Linked DNA regions of Tribolium castaneum. The protein of the gene in region 3 purifies or fractionates together with the protein of the main gene of each other region. This does not show direct contact. Links are inferred from orthologs where the notes say so. Each region holds a gene or a part of one and is shown on either strand. Other genes may lie near its edges.

Evidence for each region.
Region 1: the proteins of protein FAM98A (region 3) and RNA transcription, translation and transport factor protein purify together in Homo sapiens (affinity purification with mass spectrometry; 4 studies listed by BioGRID and IntAct, with this or other methods). This does not show direct contact. The link is inferred for Tribolium castaneum from reciprocal best matches to the Homo sapiens genes FAM98A and RTRAF.
Region 2: the proteins of protein FAM98A (region 3) and ataxin-2 homolog purify together in Homo sapiens (co-immunoprecipitation; 3 studies listed by BioGRID and IntAct, with this or other methods). This does not show direct contact. The link is inferred for Tribolium castaneum from reciprocal best matches to the Homo sapiens genes FAM98A and ATXN2L.

What each region holds. Positions count from the first base shown.
Region 1 is NC_087396.1:19,110,310-19,113,291, forward strand, and holds RNA transcription, translation and transport factor protein, read right to left. Parts: upstream 1,763-2,982; 5' UTR 1,677-1,762; coding exon 1,619-1,676; intron 1,567-1,618; coding exon 1,345-1,566; intron 1,297-1,344; coding exon 1,207-1,296; intron 1,158-1,206; coding exon 997-1,157; intron 946-996; coding exon 742-945; 3' UTR 612-741; downstream 1-611. Other genes in the region: rab-like protein 3, read right to left, coding at 1-93. UniProt on the Homo sapiens protein: RNA-binding protein involved in modulation of mRNA transcription by Polymerase II. Component of the tRNA-splicing ligase complex and is required for tRNA ligation.
Region 2 is NC_087401.1:8,009,778-8,012,325, reverse strand, and holds the end of ataxin-2 homolog, read right to left. Parts: intron 2,309-2,548; coding exon 2,121-2,308; intron 2,066-2,120; coding exon 1,614-2,065; 3' UTR 565-1,613; downstream 1-564. UniProt on the Homo sapiens protein: Involved in the regulation of stress granule and P-body formation.
Region 3 is NC_087394.1:32,799,273-32,803,092, reverse strand, and holds protein FAM98A, read left to right. Parts: upstream 1-1,167; 5' UTR 1,168-1,300; coding exon 1,301-1,338; intron 1,339-1,385; coding exon 1,386-1,591; intron 1,592-1,643; coding exon 1,644-2,137; intron 2,138-2,238; coding exon 2,239-2,439; intron 2,440-2,488; coding exon 2,489-3,079; 3' UTR 3,080-3,177; downstream 3,178-3,820. Other genes in the region: alanyl-tRNA editing protein Aarsd1, read right to left, coding at 1-105, 153-405, 553-681, 728-766. UniProt on the Homo sapiens protein: Positively stimulates PRMT1-induced protein arginine methylation. Involved in skeletal homeostasis. Positively regulates lysosome peripheral distribution and ruffled border formation in osteoclasts.

The DNA.
Region 1 (2,982 bases), on a different chromosome or scaffold from region 3:
GGGCTCGTTGTGTGCGACAAGGTGGACGAAGGAGGTTTTGCCAACGCCGGAGTCGCCCAACACCATAATACGCACCCGGTCTATTGCCGTCATTATTTTTTATCACACAATTACACTTTACAACTGGGAAATATTTGAGGTTATCTGCGTTGTCAATGTCAACTTGACACACAACTGGTGTGCGTGACCGTAAATTTCCAGTCGCTTATTTCAAATAATGAAGGTAAATTTGTAAATTGGCACCGTCAAGTCAATTTACAAATTAAAAACAATGCAAATAATTGACTAAGAGTCACAACACATTGTTTTATGTTGTATTCATGACAAATTGTAATTTAATTGCAATTATAACGTAATTGGTCAACTGTAAAAGTGTAACTTAAGTTCCAATTTAAAGAGCCGGCTCCGGCTTTTTGACAAGTAATTTGTAGGTTATACATACATTTCAAATTATGGGGAACAAGCAAGAGGAGAGTTGTTTAGCTTGTAAAATCACGTCAATTTGTTGTTTAACTGCAATTGGTGGTTACCTCATCTACCATGGCAAACAACCAACACAAAAGTACAAATACTCGTTAACTTCTTTAGGACTAGGTAATTAACACAAAAAGTGCTTCACTAGACATTTATTAGTGTAATTGCAGGTTGTGTAGCGTTAGGAGTTGGAGAAATATTTGATAAATCGCCGTTTCGTGATTATAAGGAACAGAATCAATAAATATTAGAACTGAAATAAACACTTCATTTTCCGACTTTTCCCAGCTTTGTGTCAGTTTTAGGATTAGCTGTGATGTTTTGAACGGCCACAATTAGTTCATTGGCTTTCGTTTGCAAATCTCTTAGATCATGGATGTATAAAATTCTTAATACTTTTGCCGCTTGATTTAAAACAGGATCATTCAAATCAAACCCCAAGTCAGCTTCTTGAAAAGGAAAAGGTGTGCCCTTTAAAAACACATTTAGATTTTTGAGGCTTGATAACTACGCACAAATTACCTTTATTATGACTTCGCTTGGATTGGCTTGAGCTTGTGGCGACAGTCTTGTAGTTACAAGCTTTGCAACTGCTTTTAAGGTCACAAGCGGGTCAGGATGGGGCGTTATATTTAATAGTTGTGCCAATTTTGTAATACCTTCTGCAAATTCTTTACTGTGGACTGAAATTTACTAAAATTATTTACCGAAAAAATCGACTTGTTTACGTACAATCTAATTTATCAAGGGGATTTTCAGTGACAACAGTTGGAACATTAGTTGCCTTTAAGTTCTCAACTGCATGTTTAATGTATACTTCCCCTAAAACAAAAAATTATTTTCGTGTTTTGTGGCTACGACCAATATTACTATTATTATGAGTCTCGATTTGCACAGCATAACCTAAAAGCCACTGGAGTTGTTCTTGATGGCTCTGTAAATTGGGTACACCTAGAGCTTCCTTGTACTTTTGAAAATGGTTAGGCCAATCATTTGACGTTACGTTTTTAAGACCATTTGCCACGTTAGAATCAGCTTTATTAATTTTATTTAATTCCAACCATGCCACAATTTTTCTGAATGTTGCTTCGTCTAAAAATCAGTATTTGAAGTTAAATTAAAATTATCGAGACAACGTGATCACCGTTAACGTTCACATCACACTGTGGGTACTCTAATGCTGATAAGAGCCTTTTAACCATTTTTAATTATTCACGAGTGATAAAATAAATAAAACTTTACCGGTGCTGTCAGTGTCAAAATGTCAATGACCTTGTATGATTCCTGAGAAATCTGTATAAAAAGAAAAATTGTATGAAGGGTAATTAAAACTTAAGTTTTTTTTAATAAAAAAGTGGAAATAATACATAAGTGTTTATTAAAAATGCACATACAGTACAATTAATAAAAATTTCTAATAGCTCGTGCTCAGTCTTTTGTAAAATAAATATTCCTATACTTAAATGCCGCCAGGGCTAATAAAAACCTACATATTACTTTTTTTCTTAAAACTAAGTTATATCATAGGTAAGTGACATAATATACATACTATATTTTGTGTATAACACAACATATAACACCTATAAATAGTTAAATACAAAAATATGGTGGTAAACATTCTCTATCAATTGTCCCAAACAAAATCATTGAAATATTCTCTCAACTCAAACATATTTCGTAACTGATGGTGACAATACGCAAAAATAAAATCAACGGTCCGAAAGAATTTGTTAAATCATAAGTAACTTTCCAATAAATAAAAATAACAATCGGGATTTAATTTCTTTATCACAGGCAATTTGAGGCGACCAATAAAGACTGCAAAGTAATAACGGGTGTAAGACGTAGATAATTACAGAATCGTTGGTCTGATATTGATATAAGAAGAAAACGTAATACTTGGGTACAAATGTTTTCGTACCGAAATATTACTGCCCAAAATCCATCAGTTATAGGGTTAATATACTTGTTAAGTTTGGATATTGTTCAAACATTAAAATCACTAAAAGTCTACATGTTATACTTTCATTTAGAAATGCTGTTGACTATACATTTTGTAAATATTTCGTCTATAATATCCAATCAACGAAGTAAAAGAATTATCACTAAAATCGATATTAAATAAATATCACGCAACTTTCTGATAACAGTAACAAACAATGGCTAGTGTAGTAATCTCGGTGCTGAGATGCGCTGTCATGCTCTAGTTAAAGACTGTTCAACGTTTGAAATTGCATAGATAATCTGGAAGCAGCACAACCCCGCAGTAACAACACGTAACAAAAGTTTACACTAATAGCACCCAACATTATGCATAAATAAAATTAAAATAAGTCTAACAATAACTTAACTTTCAAATAAGAGTAACCGTGAGATATTGAGAGATTACATTTTGAATCGAATTTCCCCTTATGGCCCCAATACATATCAAATGCACTATCCAATAACTAGGTTGAAAAATGTCACAAAAACTTATTTGAGCACATTTACACAATTTCCAACAAGTAA
Region 2 (2,548 bases), on a different chromosome or scaffold from region 3:
TTTACTGTTGGAATTTGAAAGTGGATAAAAAGTGAAAAAGTTTTAAATTTTGATTACAAAGTGTTATTAAAGATTATAAGCAATGGGTCACAGCGAATACAGCGAAACCAATAAATTAGTGAAGTCTGTGAATTTTTGGTTAGAATTTTTCCACTGAAAAAATCATGAAAAACTTCGATAAATCTACAAAACTACAATTAAGATTAACAACTGCTGATACATTTAAGCATAAATTGTTCCAAAAGGTAGGCTTTTCAATGTCTTTAAAATTATTTTCCAATTAAGGAAATGAACCAGTCATTCGTTATTTGTGTTTTCCTCGTCATCTCTAATTTATCAACATTCGTTTATTGCACCAAAAATACAATAGTCATTTCGCAGAGGCTATGCAATAATTGTGAAGCCTCAAAATTCGTACAACGCTCAAAATATTAGAATAAACATTTTCCCGCCATTTATGGTTACTGTTTTCGACCTAGCTCAGGGGCGCCCCCAACGGTAATTTTACTTCCGGATTATATTTCAGACAAGGACTAGGAATATGGGAATAATGAAACAGTCAGATACAAATAAAACCAAAGTGACTTTATTTGCGAAAATCATACAACTGTTAACTGCTTTTCTGCTTTTTTTTGACAATACTTACTTCTGCACCAACATGGTGCACTGAAAATATTCACAGCTCTACAGATTTTTTAACTGAGTTGACCATCTATTAAAAAATATTCTGCACAGCTTTAAATATTCAATCGCTTAATCTATAAAAAATTTAAATAATTTTGATCTTATACAAAAAAAAACAAAAAAAAATTGAATCATTGTTATTTTTGAGAAACACGTAGTATCGAAAAATGTTTCAGGTGCCAAAGATTGCATCGCACGTGATGAAAAAACACAAATTTTTTATTTAAGGCACCTTTCAAGTAGGATCGTCCCCATATCTTACAAATCAATAATCGCAACAGGGACGATTTTTTTTCATTGCTGAAAACAAATGAAATAATACGATGACCTGCTTATGGAATGAATGAATGTTCGAGTAGAAATGCCTCAACAACACAACGTACAACAAATAATAAAAAACAACAAAATTTTGAAACAACAAAAAAATAACCGGACTACAGACGACTGAAGCAATGAATGAGACGTCATGAGGGACCATGTCAATATCCAAGCTTAGGGATAAATGGGTCGCTTACTGTACCATACGCCTATATTCTGTCACACGCTGTACACTCTCACACAATTAATAATAATAAATAGTCGCTTTGAAAAAAATTTTTTGAAGCTTGGTATATTAACAGTCAATTAAATGGGTGAAGAAAATATGAAAAAAAAATTGATTGTTTTACCATGGTTTTTAATAAAGTTGGTAAAATTGCACCACAGTGTCACCAACACGATAAAGCAACTGATTAAATTTTTTACTTGTCATAGATATTAATTACCTAAAAGTAAAAAAAGATTAATTTTGACTCCGTCTGTAACAATCACTCGTAGGTAGGGTATTACCAACCGAAAAAAAACAAAAAAAACTAACGTTTGCGGGAGTAGGGAGTGGGTGGGATTAGGGACCAATGAAAATTACCTAGAACACAACACGTGGATTACCGCTAAGGGGCCGGCCCATGCTGTTGCGCTTGTGGGTGTTGTGGGGGGAGCATAACCGGAATGGGATGTTGCGGAGGCGGGGCTTGCTGCAGGTACTGCATATTTTGCATCATGTGCGGCTGGGTATGAAGTATGGAACACATGAGAGGCTGAAACTGCGGATGACTTTGCGGAGGCGGGGCTTGATACTGTTGGGGCGGCGGCTGGGGGCCCTGGCCCGGTGTGTATTGGGGCGGTTGGGCCGGCGAGGGCGTATTCGATGGATTGGGTGGGAGGTATTGGATTTGGGGCGGGGTTTCGTACATCCGAAGGGTGTGCATTTGATGATATCCTTGCGGATTCATGCCCGGTGGATAGACGAATTGTTGAATGGGCGGAGCTAGGAGTGGTTGACCTGTTGCCGCAGCGACTTGCATTTGACTGGTGACGTCCGTACGCATTTGGCTCATCGGAACTGAAATTAATTGGTTTGATTAGTTGAGGGGCGTGGTTTGTGGGTGGAGACTTACTTTTACGGACGCGGCTACCTTGTGGCGGGGGCTGGTATTGGGGTTGACTTGTCATCATGTAGCCAACCGGCATCATGACAGGCATGTGGGGTTGGCCTACGGGACCGCTCACTGTTGCAGGGATGTATGGGCTGTGAGAGGGGGTTTGGGGGGTGTGGGGGCGGCTCGCTGACGGCGTGCTTGGAGAACTGAAAATAAATATTAAAAATTAACAACATACATACATAATTTTTCTAAATAATTGTAACCTTAGACACAATTTTTCAAAAAAATCTCTACAGACCAAAGAAAAACGTAACACTTAATTCCTTGTATTAAAATATACAGCCATTCAAGACAATTAAAAGTATTTTAAGGGAATCTTAAAAAAAATGTATAGACTTTCAAAGAAACTAAAAAATTACACAGAAAAATAGCATAAACGATTT
Region 3 (3,820 bases):
TATTTTCGTCGAAAATATTAACAACGACCGGCCGTTGATCCCTTATCAGTTCGTTACAAATGTTTTCAACGTGATCGATCTGTTCTTGGGTAATTTTCGGTATATCTTTAAACATAAATTATTCAGAGCGTTCAAACCAAAAAAAAAAATACCTAGTTCAATGTACGACACTTCTTCTCCCAAGTACCAGGAGATTGTATCAAAGTTAAATTCTCTGATTAAAACAGCAGAGATTAAATGTTGGCCTGAATGTTGCTGCATGTGATCCAGTCTGCGATTCCAGTCAATGATGCCTTTAACGTCATCACCGACATTGAGCGGTTTTTCGATGAAATGGACAGCTTTGTCGCCCCTTCGTATGACTTGGTACACGGGTTGGTCGTTCAAAAAACCGTGGTCACAGGGCTGCAATTTTTAGTCAAATGGGTTATTAAAATGTACCGTTTGTTCAATTAAATTTCTGATCAAAGTGACCTGGCACAATGTTGCTAACTTAATTTCAGTCACTAGGACCAGAAAATTAATTGAATATGTGCACGAAAAATTAAAAACCTGGCCGCCCCCTTCAGGAAATAGAACAGTGTTCTCCAGAATGACTTCATATCCATTGATTTTAACGTTTTTGCCGTCAACGGTTGCGTCAAACTCGCTTTTTTCGCATGAGACTACTTTTGAAGTAAACTACAAGTATTTTTAATGTAACAAGTTAAAATTTGTTGTTTGGTACCTCTTTCAAAAAGCTGTCTTCCTGGCACTTAAACACCATGTTAGAATTACCGATCACTTTACAAATTAGTAAATTTTTGAGCAACTCTTCCGTGCTCTGGTTTGACAGTATGGAATTAAATTTTTTGGGTGTTTTAAGTGGTGTTTCTTAAAAACATATAAATGTGCGACTTTAATATATAATATTAAATCTAATAATCTATAATCTTATCGTGTTGTTCAAATAAAATAAAACAAGTCATCGGGGCCCCCACAAAACACGTTGCGACTTACGTTACGTTTTGACATTTCGTATTACGTTACGTTAATACCTCACTGTAATTCTCAATTTTGTGAATTTCCTAGCATATTTAATTTTTAACAACTACTTCGCTACAACGCAAATTGAGTTTTTTAAACGTTTTCCCCATAATAAAAATTTTCAAAAAAAAAAAAGTAAAAAATGTTGCGTTATTTTACGTTGCGATATTTGACAGCTTGACCACTTGACATTTTCGCAAATTGGTTAGAAATTCAATAACCGGCTTCAATCTCTATATTAGTGCAAAAGTAAGACATAGTATTAATTAATACAATGGAACAGAAACTCTTAGACGGACTGAAGGACCTGGGGTAATTATTTCCCAACCAAAAATTTCCAGGTCTAACTTGCATTGCAGTTATTGTGGCCCCCTTCTCGAGAAGGCTAGTTTTGATTCTGCCCTGCAGGAGGGAGCAAAAAACGTGGAATTCACCAAGCTAGTCAGTTTTTTAACAAACGAGCTACGCGCATTGCTTAATATCGATGAGGAAGTCAATCCAATATCAGGCCCTGAAGATTCAGTATCGTTTGTTATGGAAGTTAGTTCTTTTCTGAAAGAATTGAGTGCGGTGGTTTTGTTGTATTTTGCCAATTTTTTCACATTTAATGGTTACAGACTGCCCCTACGTTGCCTTAACACAGGGCCATATTTCAGACCGTCTGGAAAGTCACCAAGACAAATTATTACTTTTAGACTATTTGGCTACTGAACTGATGGCCGCAAGAGTACTACAAGAGAAAAAGCCCGATAAAAAATTTGAGCTAAAACTGGTAAGTAAAACGAAACGCAATTTTCAAATTGTTGATAAAGTTTTGCAGCAAGAGACTGAAGAAGCTGCCAATATGAGGAAGATATTAATGACTCTGAGGTTTCATAAACCGCCCCCAAACATTACTATTCCACAGTTATTCCAAAAAGTTTGCCCAACTGTGCAAAGTATTGTTCAAAAAGTTGGAAGTGAATTAGTTGGAAAGCCTGCGTTTCAAGGAACACTTTCTGATAAGCAGTGGGAAACACTAAATGGGGTTCAGAAGGATTTGAACAATGAATATAAAATTAGAAGAGAGATGTTGCTAACAAGGCTGGATGTTACGATTCAGTCTTTTCAGGTGGGCACTAATTTTAACATTTGTTCCATTCTTATTTATTACTTCAAAACAAATTTCATTTGCAATCTATACATAAGTTTCATATTCAATTGTTGTTGCAGTGGTCTGATAAAACGAAAGGCAAAGATGAGTTATTTGAAAAAGTTTACACCGAAAAGCGGAAACGCCTGAAAACGGAACCGGAAGTTGAACTTGCTGATTTATTAGCCGCACGAGACGACATTGCAATTATCGAAAAGACAAGTAACTCGTCTGTGCGCAAAAACACAAAATCGTCACTAAATAAAGTCATTATTGGACAGGTAAAACCATGATTTTGTTTAAGAAAAAAACACCAAAGAAAACTTTTAGGTTCCTGATCGTGGAGGCCGAACCTCTGAGCAAGCGCCGCCCCCTCCGGAGATGCCCTCTTGGCAGCAGCGCACGCCGGGGCCCTCGGGGGGCGGTCGAGGAAGAGGCGGCGGTAACTTTTCCCGTAACGACAACAGACAGAACTATTCAAGAGATTCGGGGAGTTACGGTGGAAGTTACTCTGGTAATCAAGGTGGTTATGATAATTATAAAAGCGGCGGTCGCGGTTACGACAATTATAACCAGGGGCGCAGTTATGACAGTGCTGGAAGTTACGGTGGTGGTTATAACAACCCTGGTTATAATAACGAGAGACAGGGGAGTTACGGCGGCGGCCAAGGCAGTTATAACGATAATAAAAGTAGTTACGATAATAGGAATTTTGATAGTGCAGGTAGTTACTCCACGAGCTATGAACAAAATTCGAAAAGGCCGAAAACTTACGATTCCTTTCAACAAAATAGAACGACTTATGCTGATCAGTATGTGCAAGAGGAACAGCATAATCAGCAGTATCACGGGAGGGGGAATTACAGAGGGAGAGGCAGAGGACACTCGAATTACAACAGGGGAGGCAGGAATCACTATTAAAAATTGTGCTGTATCATTATTTGCAGTTATTTGAAACTAGCACTAACACTTGAAAGATTGCTAATGTATTTAAATATTTAATAAAAGTACTGAATCGATATTGAAGTTTGATTTTATAGTATTTCCATTTTCATCCAAAACAGTTTCTAGAACTGAAGAACTCACTTCCTAAAGCTAGTAAATTCAAAAAAAGGTAAAAATTAAATGCGCCATCTATGCAATAAAGCCAAAAGTAAATTAAAATTGTTAGTGTTGCCATCTATATGTTGGATGTAAAAGTACAATGCTACAGTAATCTGTAATGTTTTAATTGCCATCTATACGCTTTAAATTAAAGCTAAAATATAAAGTAACCTGTAAATTTAGCGCCATCTATTTATTTTTAATCTAAGCTTTAGTTAATAATAACCTGTAAAAATTAAAGAAAAGTGTCTTCTCTTGCCTTTCGGATTTATTAATATTTTGAACTTAAATATGGGACACTTTCTGTTGTCGTAGCGACTTGAAATTTTGCATGCTTACATAACTTTTGAAGCACTATTACGTCATGTACTTCGATTCCCGATTTAAAAATGTGCAGTGCTATCTCGGTTCCTGAGGGAGATACGGGAACGGGACCTAGCCTATTCGATAGCCCGGGAAAAATACTACGGGGCGGTAGGGGTTTTAAAAGGGCAGAACCACCCCTCTATTTCCAACAGGAACGGAGATATTTCGCATTTTGTGAATCGCAGATTTTGT